2 linked regions of the Anolis sagrei genome follow. The protein of the gene in region 1 interacts with the protein of each later gene in a pairwise test. Links are inferred from orthologs where the notes say so. Each region holds a gene or a part of one and is shown in the gene's direction. Other genes may lie near its edges.

The links.
Region 2: the proteins of SPRY1 (region 1) and GEMIN4 interact in binary tests that used the Homo sapiens proteins (3 or more experiments, as listed by UniProt). The link is inferred for Anolis sagrei from reciprocal best matches to the Homo sapiens genes SPRY1 and GEMIN4.

What each region holds. Positions count from the first base shown.
Region 1 is NC_090025.1:37,237,059-37,245,298, forward strand, and holds the start of SPRY1 (protein sprouty homolog 1), read left to right. Parts: upstream 1-4,466; 5' UTR 4,467-4,643; intron 4,644-5,726; exon of another isoform or gene 5,727-5,729; 5' UTR 5,730-6,383; intron 6,384-8,240. UniProt on the Homo sapiens protein: Inhibits fibroblast growth factor (FGF)-induced retinal lens fiber differentiation, probably by inhibiting FGF-mediated phosphorylation of ERK1/2. Inhibits TGFB-induced epithelial-to-mesenchymal transition in lens epithelial cells.
Region 2 is NC_090031.1:35,278,914-35,287,636, reverse strand, and holds the start of GEMIN4 (gem-associated protein 4), read left to right. Parts: upstream 1-4,986; 5' UTR 4,987-5,068; coding exon 5,069-5,078; intron 5,079-6,805; coding exon 6,806-8,723. Other genes in the region: GLOD4 (glyoxalase domain-containing protein 4), read left to right, coding at 740-805. UniProt on the Homo sapiens protein: The SMN complex catalyzes the assembly of small nuclear ribonucleoproteins (snRNPs), the building blocks of the spliceosome, and thereby plays an important role in the splicing of cellular pre-mRNAs.

The sequences.
Region 1 (8,240 bases):
AAAAGGCCATCTCATCTGTAAGAATTGGTACCACCAAAATAATTCACTAAAGCAGTGATTCTCAACCCGGGGATTGGGACCCCTTGTGGGGTCACGAGGAGGTGTCAGAGGGGTCACCAAAGACCATCAGAAAATACAGTATTTTTTATTGGTCATGGGGGTTTTGTGTGGGAAGTTTGGCCCAATTCTATCATTGGTGGAGTTCACAATGCTCTTTGATCATAGGTGAACTATAAATTCCAGCACCTACAACTCCCAAATGTCAAGGTCTATTTTCCCCAAACTCCACCAATGTTCACATATATTGAGTATCCGTGCCAAGCTTGGTCCAGATCCATCATTGTTTGAGTCCACAGTTCTCCCTGGATGTAGGTGAACTACAACTCCAGAACTCAAGGTCAATGCCCACCAAATCCTTCCAGTATTTTCTGTTGGTCAGGGGGAGTTCCAAGTACCAAGTATGGCCCAATTCTATCATTGCTGGGGTTCAGAATGCATTTTGATTGTAAGTGAATCATAAATCCCAGCAACTACAACTCCCAAATGTCAAGGCCTATTTTCCCCAAACTTCACCAATGTTCACATTAGGGCATATTTAGTATTCCTGTCAAGTTTAGTCCAGATCCATCATTGTTTGAGTCCACAGTATTTTCTGTTGGTCATGGGAGTTCCATGTGCCAAGTTTGGTTCAATTCCATCGTTGGTGGAGTTCAGAATGCTTTTGATTGTAGGTGAACTATAAATCCTAGCAACTACAACTGACAAAATCAATCCCCCCCCCCAACCCCACCAGTATTCAAATTTGAGCGTTTCGGGTATTTGTGCCAAATTTGGTCCAGTGAATAAAAATACATCCTGCATATCAGATATTTACATTACGATTCATAACAGTAGCAAAGTATACAGTTATGAAGTAGCAACAAAAATAATTTTATTGTTGGGGGTCACCACAACATGAGGAATTATATTAAGGGGTCGCGGTATTAGGAAGGTAGAGAAACGTTGCACTAAAGACTTCTGAATACATTTAGGACTCAGAGGATCAGACTACACATTACTACGGATAAGTAACATCCCATCTGGACTACTACAATGCATTGCATGTGGTTTTGCTTTTCAAATGAATGCCCCAGAAGCTCCAGTTGATTCAGAATAAGACGGCAAGATTATTGGCTGGACACTGCAACCATATGATGCCTTTATTTTGTCAGCTGCAGTGGCTCACATTTTGGGCTCCAGTTGAAAGTGCTGGCAATCCCTTGAACAGATCGGGATCAGGTTATCTGGAAAACCGATTTCCACCACATTTACCTATCTTAATATTTAGGAATCTCTTCAAAGGCTCTCTCCTCTATGTGGGTTGGATATGAAAAGAGGCAGGTGAGAATTAGGCAAAGGGTTTTCACACTTACGGCACTTTGGCTGTGGAATAGTTTTTCTAAGGATTGTGTGGGTGTAAAATCAGTTTTCCAGATAACCTGATCCTAGGATGCATCTATGCTGGAAAATTAATGTAGTTTGACCCCACTTTCACTGCATTGGCTCAATGCTAGGGAATCCTAGGAAATGTAATTTGATTTTGTGTGTGTGCATCAGGAGAGACTTGAGAAACTGCAAGTCACTTCTGGTGTGAGAGAATTGGCTGCCTGCAGAGACGTTGCGCAGGGGACTCTCTCATGTCCCTGCATGAGAAGGTGGAGCTGACAGATGGGAGCTCACCCCACTCTCCAGATCTGAACTGCCGACCTTTCGGTCAGCTGTCCTGCTGACACAGGGGTTAAACCAATTGCACCGTCAATCTAAACCCATTGATTAGGCACCAGTACTATTTGGCAGTACTATTTGGCAGTCCTTTTAAAACCACAAATCTCTAGAAAAACTAATATGCATTGTTGGATACACTTCCCGTTACAGCCCAACACCGATAGTACATCTACATTGTAGAATTAATGCAGTTTGGCACCACTTTAACTTCCCTCTCTGTGTGAAATGGATTAATGGAGTTGCAGTTCTGCAAAGGTGCTTAGCCACCTCTACCAAAGAGTGCTGGTACCTCGTCAAACTATAACTCCCGGGTCCCATAACATTGAGCCATGGCAGTTAAAGTGGTGTCAAACTGCATTCATGCACTTTGAAAGTGGAGAAATATCCATCCTTCGACGACACAATATCCATCCTCTTTTTCAGTGCTCATTGTCCTCTCAGGGAAGGCATCAGAGTCCTCAAGGTGTCATGTGTCACTCTTGGATAGGCACTTTAAAGCTTTCAGTGTCTAAATAATCGAAACAAGGAATACACCAGGTTGCTGTGAGTTTTCCAGGCTATATGGCCATGTTCCAGAAGCATCCTCTCCTGATGTTTCACTCACATCTATGGCAAGCATCTTCAGAGGTTGTGAGGTCTGTTGGAAACTCAGCAAGAGTGGTTTATATATCTATGGAGTGTCCAGGGTGGGAGAAATAACTCTTGTCCATTTGAGACAAGTGTGAAAGAACAAACCTGGACACAACATATTACTTGAAAACACAGAAATGCTGGACCACTCTAAAAACCACCATGCCAGACTACACAGAGAAGCCATTGAAATTCATAAGCATGTGGACATTTTCAACAGCCTTCTCTTCTTCAGGCTAAACATGCCCAGCTCTTTAAGCCGCTCCTAATAGGGCTTGTTCTCCAGACCCTTCATCTTTTTAGTCGCCCTCCTCTGGACACATTCCAACTTGTCAATATCTCTCTTCAATTGTGGTGCCCAGAATTGGACACAATATGGTGCGATGAAGAAATCCTGATATTGTGTCCAATTCTTCTTCTTCTTCCTCTTCTTCTTCTTCTTCTTCTCTTCTTCTTCTCTCCTTCCCTTCCTCCTCCTCCTGATGAGATGAAGAAATACTAATATTGTGTCCAATTCTTCTTCTTCTTCTTCTTCTTCTTCTCTTCTCTTCCTCCTCCTTCTTCTGGTGAGATTAAGAAATCCTGATATTGTGTCCAATACTACTTCTTCTCCTTCTCCTCCTTTTCTTCTTCTCTCCTCCTCCTCCTCTTTCTACTGGTGAGATGAAAAAATCCTGATATTGTGCCCAATAATTCTTCCCCTTCCTCTTCTCTTCTTCTTCTCACCTCCTCCTGATTCTTCTGGTGAGATGAAGAAATCCTGATATTGTGTCCTCTTCTTCTCCTCCTTCTCTTCTTCTCTTCTCCTCCTCCTTCTGGTGAGATGAAGAAATCTTGATATTGTGTCCAATTCTTCTTCTTCTTCTCCTTCTACTTCTTCCCTCCTCCTCCTCTTCTTCCTCCTCCTCCTCCTCCTCCTCCTCCTTCTCTTCCTCCTCCTCCTCCTCCTCCTCCTCCTCCTCTTCTTCTTCTCTCCTCCTCCTCCTCCTTCTTCTGGTGAGATGAAGAAATCCTGATATTGTACCCAATAATTCTTCTCCTTCCTCTTCTCTTTTTCTTGTCACCTCCTCCTCCTTCTTCTGGTGAGATGAAGAAATCCTGATATTGTGTCCTCTTCTTCTCCTTCTCTTCTTATCTTCTCCTCCTTCTTCTGGTGAGATGAAGAAATCCTGATATTGTGTCCAATTCTTTTCCTTCTTCTCCTCCTCTTCTTCTCTCCTCATCCTCCTCCTTCTTCTGGTGAGATGAAGAAATCCTGATATTATGTCCAATTCTTCTTCTTCTCCTCCTCCTCCTCCTCCTCCTCCTCTTCTCCTCCTCCTCCTTCTGGTGAGATGAAGACATCCTGATATTGTGTCCACTACTACTACTACTACTACTACTACTACTACTACTACTCTCCTTCTCTTTTTCTCTCCTCCTCCTCCTCCTCCTTCTAGTGAGATGAAGAAATCCTGATATTGTGCCAAATAATTCTTCTCCTTCTCCTTCTCCTTCCTCTTCTCTTCTTCTTGTCACCTCCTCCTCCTTCTCCTGGTGAGATGAAGAAATCCTGATATTGTGTCCTCTTCTTCTTCTCCTCCTTCTCTTCACCTCCTCCTTCTTCTGGTGAGATGAAGAAATCTTGATATTGTGTCCAGTTCTTCTTTTCTTCTTCTTCTTCTTCTTCCTCTTCTTCTTCTCCTCCTCCTTCTCTCCTCCTCCTCCTTCTCTTCTGGTGAGATGAAGAAATCCTGATATTGTGTCCTCTTCTTCTCCTTCTCCTTCTCTTCTTATCTCCTCCTCCTCCTTCTTCTTGTGAGATGAAGAAATCTTGATATTGTGTCCAATTCTTTTCCTTCTTCTCCTTCTACTTCTCTCCTCCTCCTCCTCCTTCTCCTTCTTCTCTGGTGCGATGAAGAAATCCTGATGAATGGTAAGCAAACCTTGGCATGAATGAGCGCGAGGAAGCGCGCGCTTCTTGTGTGCACTGGAAGGAGGCGGGCAAGGGAGAGTCCAGGCCGGGTTTTCCGGGCCGCCCTCCTGAGTGACAGATTGACATCATTGGGGGCGGGACCAAGGGGGCGAAAGGGGGGCTCGGCGCTGAAAGGTTCCCGTGCCGAGTTGAGCTCATTCTGAACAGAGCCACGCAAAAGGACAGCGCCGCTCGCAAGGCTTGATCGCCGCCACCGGACCTGCCCTCGGTGCCTCTCCGCCTTGGATTTAGCTTGCTGTGGATGCGCCTCGGGGAGGAAACACCTTTGCAATCGGTAATCCGCTCGGGGAAGGAGCTCAGGTGCTGCCCGAGCCCAGGCTGCCGAGCCCCAAAGCCTTGCAGCGTGCAGCCAAGGCGGAGCCTTTCCCGAAAGAGACTCCACGCAGCAGCAGCAGCAGCAGGAGCAGCAGCCTTATTGTTCGGATTGGGGGGCGCTTGGCGGGGACCTTCACCTTTCTGCAGTCTCCAAGCCTAGGTCTAAACAAAGCCTAAGAGGTTGGGAGGGTTGCTTTAGGGAACCCACCCAGTACAGGGCTCAAGATTGGGAGCTTCTGGCTTGAATGCTTCCAGGAGAGGGTCTTAAGAAGTCTCAAAATTGGGGAGGTCCAAAGAAGTCTCAATGTTTCCTTGGGGAAACCCAGAAATGAGGCTAAACTTGGGGAACTTCTTGCTCAACCTTCCCTACTACAAGGCTCTAAAGTAGGTGTGTGCAAACTTGGGCCTTCCAGGTGTGTTGGACTCCAACTCCTACCATTCCTAACAGCCTCAGGCTTAAGCGGCTGAGGGGGAAAAGGAAAGGGCCTGAGGCTGTTAGGAATGGTGGGAGTTGGAGTCCAACACACCTGGAAGGCCCAAGTTTGCTCATATGTGCTCGAACTGGGACCTTTCTTTGCCCCCACTGCTCTAACTGGGACCTCCCCCTCCCCAAGTGATATGTCTGTGCTATCTCTCTGTTTCTGCCTTGCTCAGAGTTTGCACCGTCTGGGTTTCCCCCCTTTTCCAGAACAGATATCCAAAATCAAAATGGGTGCCTGTCCAAAATCCCCATTGGGTGCCTATCCAAAATCCCCATTGGGTGCCCATCCAAAATCCCCATTGGGTGCCCATCCAAAATCCCCATTGGGTGCCCATCCAAAATCCCCATTGGGTGCCTATCCAAAATCCCCATTGGGTGCCCATCCAAAATCCCCAATGGGTGCCACAAGGCTGTCAAGCAAGCCGTCCCCCTCTCCAAAGCACATGGCAGCTTTGCCACAAAGTCATTGGATATATATTTTTTGTATGGAAGGGTGACTTCTACCTGTCCATTGCTCTCTTTACTGATCTCTTTCTTCTCCCTCCCCCCTTCAACTTCCAGCAGGCATCGCTTGGGCACTTTGTCTGGCTCCAGCTCGAAGGGACCATGCGGTGAAGCAAGAAAAAGGAGCTTGGAAAGTCGAGGAAGCGAGGCGCCCCACGCGCCTTGGAAGGAAAGCAAAAAAGAAGGAAGGGAAGTGCAGAAAGAGAGAGAGAGAAAGGAGACCAAGAGAGAAAGGAGACCAAGCAGCTTTCCACAAGAAGCCCCCCTTTTCCTTCCTCCCCTGGCTGTTGTTTACAGTCTCCCATTGGTGTGGATGCCGGAGGAGTTTGAGCCAGAGAGCACTTTGCAAGCTCAATCCAGCTCTCCTTTTGCTTTTCCACCTGGTAGCCAAAGAAGGCTTCCTTTTTCACCCCCTTGGATCTGAAGCGCATGGACGCCGCCTCTCTTCTTGAACAAGGGAGGGCTAGAGGCAACTCAATCGCCTTCTTTCCTTGAATGTTTGCCCTTGGGAAAGAGAGGGCTTTTGGGGCGCAACAGGATTGCTTTCTGCTCCAGAAGAAGAAGACGCCCTTGGCAACCCAGCAGCAAGGATTGGCAAAGGGAATCTTCTCTCAATGAGCCCTGCGGCATTTTAAGGCAAGGCCGACCTCTCCGGCTGGCTCCCCATGGATCTAACTTAGGGGTTGCTTTCACACGGAGTTGCCATTGCGAAAAGTAAGTGAGCCTCAGCAGAGCTTGCAAGATGGACTCTAGGGGCCTGGCTTGGCACCTATGAGCGAACAGGTGCCCTTAGGCAGCTTCTTTGGCTTTAGGGGCTTCCCGGGGATGACTTTGGGTTTCCGACCGAGTCTGGGGCCTCTTCCACACAGCTGAATAAAATCACACATTATCTGCTTTGAACTGCTTTATAATAAGAATAATAAGAATAACTACTACTACTACTACTACTACTACTACTACTGTATTTTTATACCCTGCCTCCATCTCCTTGAAGGAACCTGGGGTGGGTTACATAGGGCCAAGCCCAGATAACAGAGTTAAAACATAGCACATTAGAGTGCATCAACAGCAATTTAAAACAATACAAAATATAAAACAAGCGTCGAAACGCACAGCAATAACATAGTCAAGAATATATGGCAGTGTGGACTCCGATTACCCAGTTCAAAGCAGATATTGTGGGATTTTCTGTCTTGATATTCTGGGATATAGGGCTCTGTGGAAAGGTCCTGGGTGCATCTTGTCTTGGGTGCACCTTGTAGAATTTATGCAGTATAGTTTGGCACCACTTGAACTGCCTTGTCTCAGTGTAGACACACTCTTGGTTGCTTGACTGCTTCAGAGAGGCACTTTCTCCCAAGGCTGCCATTCCTGCTTTGAGCCCTCTCCTTGGGTGTAGCTACACTGTAGAATGAATGCACTTTGACACCACTTAAACTGCCTAATTCTTCTAATATTTGATAGTTTTAGTATATTCCAGAATTGGAAGTTTTGTTTCTATACTTTTTTGTGTATTTTCTTATTTGTTAACACTGTGGCATCCTGTGAGTTGTAGTTTTACAAGACAAAGAGGATGCGAGCATCACCAAACTACAGCTCTCCGGATTCCATAGCTTTGGGGCATGGCAGTTAAAAGTACATCTGTTCAACAGTGTAGATGCACCCTTGCTTGCTTTGACTCAGTGGAAGGCTGGGGATTTGGAGAGGGGTTTGGAGTACCTTTCCCGCCATGTGCTTCAGCAAATTGCTGCAATTATGCTTTGATTCCTCTTCCCGAGTGCATCTACACCAGGCATGGGCAAACTTCAGCCTTCCAGATGTTTTGGACTTCAACTCCTAGAATTCCTAACAGCCTCAGGCCCCTTCCTTTCCCCTCTCAGCTGCTTATGCTCCTACAGCTTAAAATCATGCAAGGCATAGTTTTTCAAGATCTTTGGCCTTCTCTGCAAAGAGGACTGGCGTCTCACCAAACTGCGTCTCTCATGATTCCATAGCATTGAGCTGTGGTAGTCAAAGTGGTTTCAAAATGCATTAATTCTACAGTGTAGATGCACCCTCTGTATGTGTGCATGGGTTTTTATTTTTTTCCCCCTACTCAGGCAACATGTTGATTCACATGTACGGAGTTTGGGGGAACTTTCTGTGAAAATGTTGGGGTTGAGTATTGATTGTGGTCAATACTCAAATATGTGTCCAGTTTGTGGCTTGATTCTGTTGTGATTGGAGTGATGATGATGGTAACTGTAAAAGTTATTTCTGCGGGTAGAATAATCACATTGTAAGCATTTCTGTAGCTTGGCTATTGCAACTCCACTGGCTAGAAAGTATATTTGACTTCAAAATGGCTTTGTGTCACAGAGTTTACTATTTGCATTGGTATTCACAACATTGCTACAGAAGGCTCACAGGCTGATTTGGGATTCATTCTCATGCATTAAGTGGTCCACCATGAATGGACCTGTAGAATCCAGAATACACTGTAGAATTCAGTTTGACACCCCTTTAACCACCGTGGCTCAATACTATGGAGTCATAGGAGTTGTAGTTTCACAAACTCTGCTGAAGAGGCCT
Region 2 (8,723 bases), on another chromosome or scaffold:
GCATGGAGAATGAATAATAATGATAATGTGTTTGGCACATTATTATTATTATTATTATTATAGGTTTTTAGCATGGAATAATAATAATAATAGGTGTTTAGCATGAATAATAATAATAATAATAATAAAATAATAATAATAGAAACTTTGCATAGAGAATGAATAATAATAATAATGTGGCATGTAGTTTGAATAATAATAGGTTTTTAGCATGGAGAGAAAATAATAATAATAGGTCTTTGACATGGAGATTAATGATAATAATAATAATAATAATAATAATAATAATAGAAGGTGTTTAGCATGGAGAAATAATAATAATAATAATAATCATCATTATTATTATTATAATGGGCTGGGCTTTAGCACAGCGGGTTAAACTTCCAGCTGCAGAAAATCCTGCCGATTGCCAGGCCAACAATTCAAGCCTGGGTTGGGGTGAGCTCCCAAGTGTCAGCCCAGCTTCTGCTCACCTAGCAGTTCAAAAACAGCAATGTGAGTAGATAAATAGGTACCGCTTTGGCGGGGAGGTAATCAAAGGCGCCCATAAGGACATGCTGTCGATTCGTTTGCCGTATATGTGTACTGTAATCCGCCCTGAGTCCCCTCGGGGAGATAGGACTGAATATAAATAAAGTTGTTTATTATTATTATTATTATTATTATTATTATTATTATTATAGGAGGTGTTTGGCATGGAGACTGAATAATAATAAGAATAGTCTTTCTCTTTCCGTAGAGTATGGCAGCCGACAAAAGCCAGGAGTGGTTTGCAAAGCACAACATCCCTAAACCTTCTGCCTGAAAGGAAAAGCCATGTATGGCTGCTTGGAAATACATTCCAGTGGATGCCTTCCGCCTCGAATGCAAGCGCCATCTATTCGGCGTTGGTTCGAAGGCTTCAGAGTCCGGTGCCCTCCGTCTGGTGTTTGCCAAATCAATGTATTGCCTTGGGTTTCATTCTGGGTTTCTTTTCCTCCAAATAAATAATTTCCCGTGAAGAAGAAAATATTATTATTATTATTATTATTATTATTATTATTATTATTATTATTTAATTCTATGTTATATGATAATATATATTACACAAAAACTATTATTATTCTGTCTATATAAATAAAAATGTCATGTTTGTTTGTGGGATTAACAGAACTCCAAAACCACTGGACGAATTCACACAAAATTTTGACAGAATACACCTAACAGTCCAATGAGTGTTGATCACTCCTAAAAATACAAAAACCCTCAGCAGAACGGACTTAAAAACCCCCAAAAATACACCATATATATATATATATATATATATATATATATATATATATACACACACACACACACACACACATACACACACACACACATATATACACACACATATATATACACATACACTCATATACACATGCACACATACATACACAAACTTGTATATGTATATTATTTATATACACACAAGCACACAGAAATATACACACATACATCTCCATATACACATATATACATGCACACACAAATATACACATGCACACACATATACACAATATACACATATAAATGTACACACATATACACACATCTATGCACACACATATATACACCCACACATACCCCCCACATATATATATCTATATCTATCTATACACACACACACATATACACAGATACACAAATATATACACACATATAAACACATATATACAATATACACATCTACGCACACACATATATACACCCACACATACCCCTCCACACACATATCTTATCTGAATTTATCTATCCATCTATCTATCTATATACACACACAAATATACACATATACACAGATACACAAATATATGCACACCTATACACCTCCACACACATATCTATCTGTATTTATCTATCCGTCTATCTATCTATAATATACACACACAAACACGCATATATACACAGATACACAAATATACACACACATATATACACACACACAAAACACATATATACAGACTGGGCCACAGCAACGCATGGCAGGGGACGGCTAGTAATATATAAAGGAGTCTTTCAACTTCCTGGGTAAAAACCCCCTTCCGAATTTGGGGAGCTCTCAAAAAACAGACCGGGACCCCCATTGAAATCCGGGACGCCGAAACAGATTGCAGTTTGCCCGGATTGCACAAGCATCATCCTAGCCTCGTGTACCAGTTGAAAGACAAAACATTGGGGGACCCTCAGGTTGAGAACCACTGGCCTAGATCCATCCTAGCGCCCCACTGGTGGCCCCCGAGACGGGACGATGGGACTCGGGAGTCCCCTGAAGGAACACAGATAGACCAAGACACTCAAGGTTGCCTTCCTTTCTCAAAGAGTGGGGGGGTTTAATGTCCAGGAGCAGGAGAGGTGGGCTTCGCTCCTTGTCCCCCCTGGGCCCTTCCGCCTTCCTTCTGGGGCCAGACTACAAGGCCCATCATGCCCTCACTGGTGGCTCCAAGGGAGGGGCTTGCGCAGGCGGAGGCGGAGGCAGGCGGTGAGCAGGGCCCCCTCTTTGCGCCCCGAGCAGAGCGAGCGCCGGGAGATCAGGAGGGGGCCCGGGCGGAAGGGGCTGTCCCTGCAGGAAGAGGAGGAGGAGGAGGAATTATTAGTATTATAATATATTATATAATAAGTATATTGTCTTAGTATACTGCTATACTGTAATATATTATTATATATTATATAATTAGTATATTGTATTACATTTTAGTATATTATTAGCATAGCACAATATTAGTATTATATGTTTCTATATTAAACTATACCGCTATACTGTAATATATTAATATATTGTTAGTATATTGTATTACATTTTAGTATATTATTAGCATAGAACAATATTAGTATTATATGTTACTATATTAAACTATACTGCTATACTGTAATATATTATTATATATTATTAGTATATTGTATTACATTTTAGTATATTATCTTATTAGCATAGCACAATATTAGTATTATATGTTACTATACTAAACGATACCACTATACTGTAATATATTATTATATATTATTAGTATATTGTATTATATTTTAGTATATTATATTATTAGCATACCACAATATTAGTATTATATGTTACTATACTAAACGATACCACTATACTGTAATATATTATTATATTGTATTATTAGTATATTGTCTTACGTTTTAGTATATTATCTTATTAGCATAGCACAATATTAGTATTCTATGTTACTATATTAAACTACCACTATACTGTAATATATTATTATATTGTATTATTAGTATATTGTCTTACGATTTAGTATATTATCTTATTAGCATAGCACAATATTAGTATTCTATGTTACTATATTAAACTATATATATTCAGTTAGAATTGATAACAGGAGCCCCCATGGTGCAGTGGGTTAAACCCTTGTGCTGACAGGACTGAGGACTGTAATATATTATTATATATTATATAATTAGTATACTGTATTACATTATATTATTAGCATAGCACAATATTAGTGTTATATGTTACTATATTAAACTATACTGCTATGCTGTAATATATTATTGTATTGTATTATTTATTGTATTACATTTTAGTAAATTATATTATTATCATACCACAATATTAGTATTATATGTTACTATATTAAACAATTCCACTGTACTGTAATATTATTAGAAATATTGCATGTAATATATAATATACAATTATTATAGCATTATAGTGTACTATATTATTATGCCACAACATGTAAAATACACTACCAGTATATTATACTGAACATTATTGTCATTCTTCTCATTATGATTGTATTAATATAATTATTATAATAATAGAAGAATCCCTGCTGGGATCGGAATATTTGATAGAATAATAATAATAGTAGTAGTAATAATAATAATAATAATAATATAAAATGATTCCTGCTGAGACTATGAATATTTTTAATAATAATAATAGAAGAATCCCTGCTGGGATCAAGAATATTTGATATAATAATATATATAGAAACAACAATTGATTTAATAATGTAATACAAAATAATAATAATATAACAATTCATATTATAATAATAATGCAATAATATATATTTAATAACAATGGATATAAAATAATAACAATGTAATATAAAATAATAATATAATAATTGGTATTATAATACTGCAATATAAAATAATATATACCAATAATAATAATAGTAGTAGAACAATACCCTATTATATCTTAATATAATAAAATAATTTGTTTTATTATATTATCATCAAATATAATATATATAATTTATAATAGAGTATAATATATTAATATAAGAATACATATATGAGTATAATATTATAAGAGTATAATATAAGTATAATATATGTATAATATATATTATAATATATTAATATAAGAATATATATTAATGTAATATAATTACCAATTATATTATATTAATATAATTAATATAATTATATTAATAATATTATATTATTAATATAATATAATATATATTATAAGAGTATAATATATTAATATAAGAATATATATTAATGTTATATAATTACTAATTATAGTATAATATAATTAATATTATATTATTAATATAATATAAGTATAATATGTATTATAAGAGTATAATATATTAATATAAGAATATATATTCAAACAATATAATTACTAATATTATCATCATATATTATAATATATAATTTATAATATATAAAATATATTAATATAAGAATCTAATAATAACGATAGTAATGATCATAGAGTAGGCCGACCATGCAGTGTAGGCCGGAAGGGGCGTGGCGTTGTCCGGGCGGGGGGCGGTGTCTCGGAGGAGGCGGCAGAGGAAGCTCTTCCGGCGGAACTTGGCTTTGCGGAACCCCGTCTCGGCGCCGGAAGAAGGGCAAGAAGGGGAGCGGGAAGAGGGCGGAAGTGTGGCGTCAGGCGGAGCCGCGCGCTTTCCACTGCAGCCGCCAGGGGACAAAAAGGTCTCTCCCATCCGGGGCTTTTGTGCCGCGCGGGCTGAGCGCACAATGCCCGCCTCTTCCTCCTCCCCTGCCACACTTCCGCTTCCGGCCCGGAAGAGGGGGAAGGAGAGAGGCAGCCATGCAGCTCGGTGGGTGGGAGATGTAGTTCGCCAAGGGCCACAGAAATATTTCATTTTCTATTTATTTTATTTTTGCTTTTCTACTACTTTTTTCATTTTCATGCCCAGTAATTTTATTTTCTATTATTTATGTCCTTTTTTTCCATTCATAGTTTCCTATTTGTATTTAATTTTTTATTTACTATTTTCTACTTATTTTCTTCTACTTACTTTTTTATTATTACTAATTATTTTATTATTATGTTTCCTGTCTCTTGGTTTATTTTCCATTATTTGTTTGTCATTCTGTATTTCCTACTTTTTTCTATTATTTATTATTTTATCAATTTTTGTTTAATTATTTTTTATTTATGTTTTCTAATTTAGGATCAGCTTTTTCTTTTTCTATTTATTATTACTATTATTATTCTTTTATATTTTCTAATTTTCCTTTTCTATTTATTATTATTATATATTTATGTTTTCTATTTTTCTATTTATGATCACTTTTTCCTTTTCTATTTATTATTATTATTCATTTATTCATGTTTTCTAAATTTCTATTTATGATCACTTTTTCCCCTTTCTATTTATTATTATTCATTTATTTATTTATATTTTCTAATTTTCTATTTTTTCTTTTCTATTTATTATTATTATTTATGTTTTCTATTTTTTATTTATGATCACTTTTTTCCTTTATTATTATTCATTGATTTATTTATATTTTCTAATTTTCTATTTTTTCTTTTCTATTTATTATTATTCGTTTATGTTTTCTATTTTTCTATTTATGATCACTTTTTTCCTTTTCTATTTATTATTATTCATTGATTTATATTTTCTAATTTTTCTTTTCTATTTATTATTATTAATTGATTTATATTTTATAATTTTCTATTTTTGTTTTCTATTTATTATTTTTATTATTTATTTATGTTTTCTAATGTTTTATTTATGATGACTTTTTCCCTTTTCTATTTATTATTATTATTATTATTATTATTATGTTTCTATTTTTCTTTCAGGTGTTTTTTTACCCTCCTGAGATTATTTTGGGGAGTTTTTTTTTAAGTGTTTGAACAGATTTTGGAATTTAATTCTATTTTTTGACATTTATAGGTTGTTGGTCACTATTTTTAAATAAAATGTTGTCATCTTCATGGCATTGAGAGTAATGCTGTGAGTCTCAGTCCAGAGATAAATAAATTGGATATGACTACTACTACTACTATTGGGTTTCTGTGAGTTTTCCAGGCTGTCTCCCATAGATGTGGATGAAATGCCAGGAGAGAATGCTTCTGGAACATGGCCAGACAGCCCAAAAAACTCACAGCAACCCAGTGATTCTGGCCATGAAAGCCTTCGACCAAACATCATTATCAGTCTTTGTATTAGCAATAATAATTGTAAGTAATAATATTGAGGAAAGCTGTCAAGAGATTAAAAAGGATATAATAATTCATAAAATAATAATACAGAAACATAAATATGTATTATATATCATGTAGTGTGTGTATATACACATATATACAATTTAGTTTGCCATGATATGAAAGGATTATCATCCACAATTTTCTATATTATATATTTATAAATTTTATGGTATTCATATATATATATATATATGTATATATGTATATATGTTTATATATATATATAAACATAATTTATAAATATATAGTAGACATCTCCGGGCTGAGGGTTGAGTAGCCCATCCTTCCCTTGAACAGAACGGTCTGTCTCTGTCCCAACAGGGCCGCTGACCATCTGCGGAGAAGTGACCGTCCTGCACGGCGGGTTCCTGCTGGCCTCCCAGCTGTGCCACCCCCGGCCGTTGTCCGAGCTGGCCAAGTCCGACTGGCCCGTGGTGGGGAAGCCCATCCTGGAGGCGCTGGAAGAGATCTGCACCTCCCACTCGTCGTACCCGCCGCAGCCGGACGCCTGGAAGAAGAAAGCGGCGGTCATCCTGTGGTCCAAGGTGCTCTTCTCCGAGGCCCCGGCGGTGTCCCTGAACCAGCGGTGGAAGGACGACGCCTTCTTCTCCGTCAGCAGCATGATCCCGGAGGTCAACCGCACGGTGCTCTTTGAGCTCTTCATGGCGGCCAACGCGCCCCGGCTTTTCACCGAACTTCTCCTGGTTCTTCCGGAGCCGCTTTGCCGGCGGGAACTGGAGGCGCTGGTGGCGTACGTGGCCAAGGAGACCTCTCCGCGCGACGTCCGCTTCTACTTAGACGTGTGGTGGGAGATCATGAAGCACAAGGCCGGCCAGGAAGACCGTCTGACCTTGCTCTTCCGCAACGTCTCCCGGCAGTGTCTCCCGGAGCCGGACGACACAGGTCAGGCCCCGAAGCGCTTCAAGAGCGACGCCCCTCCCTCGACGCATCCCCCCCTCGAGACGAACGTCCTTCCCATCTTAACGGAGGGTTTGAAGCTGATCCAGGGGAGCGTCTGCCCGGCGAAGATGAAGTGTTACGCTCTTGCCAACCTCGTGGACCTTGTGTCCATGTCGCTGGCGGCGTGCGACGCGGAGTCAGTGCCCATCAAGACGTACTTGGTGAAGGTCTCTTCAGTGGTGACGCTTTGGTGCAGCGACTGCGACAACCGCTATAGCAAATCGGAGCTGGACGAGAAGGTGAAGGAGGCTGAGCGGAGCGTGAGTTTGCTCAGCGTGGCTCAGACGTCCAAAGCGTTCTTGCTCATAGATTTGGCTTTTCTCCACGCTTTGTTGGAAGAGTGGTCTACGGAGCTTCAGGATTTCCTCAACGATCCGGAACAGGTCTGCTACGAAAGCTACCGGCTCCTCGATTGCTTGGCGTCGTTGCAGAAGCGGCTGGCGAGGTATGCCGAGTCGGGGGGCGACTTGGAGGACGAGACGGCCAAGGCCGTGGCGCGCCTCTCCGAGCTCGTGGCGGACTTCTTGAAGAGCGTCAGCCTCAAGCCATGCAACAATGAGGCCAAAAAGGACGTTGTGGCCTCTGTGGCCATGGTCATAATCGACAAGCGGATGGACCGCCACGAGGAGGTGTGCTCCGTATTCGCGGCAGAGAAGGACTGGGCGCTCACCGAGGAATGGGCCGACTGCCTTGTCAAGAACAAGGAGCTCTTCCGGGATCCCGGGACCGTCCTCAAATTGGCACAGACTTTGGCCAACAGCAGTCAAGACGCCCAAAGCCAGGGGCAGGCCGCCCGCGTGGCCAAAGTCATCCTTGAGTGTTACACGGCACTCCCCTTGACCGATCAGAACCAAGTCATTTCCGGCATCTTGGCGACGTGGGGCCGGAAGGGCCTTTCCGGGGCATCGCCGGCCTTCTCGGAGGGTTTCCAGGAGGAACTCAACGTAGCCTTCAACCAGATCATCCAGAGCGTGTCCGGAGAAGGCTTCCAGAGGGTGGTGGCTGCCGTGTCTCGGCTTGTGGTGCTCAACCCGGAAGCGACGGTCAAGAAGATCTACCACTTGGTGGTGGCCAATTTAGGAACACATCTCTTCTTGGCGGAGATCTTGTGTTGCTTCCCGGCCCTGAGGTTCCAGGAGGGTCAGGACGCGGGGGACGCCTCGGCCAACCTGCTCTTGGCCTGCCTGCGGGAGACCATCTGGGACCGGCTGACCTCCGCCAAGGAGAAGGAGCAGTTCTTGGAGTTCCTGGGCTACCTCCTCCAGCCCAACGGGGCCCA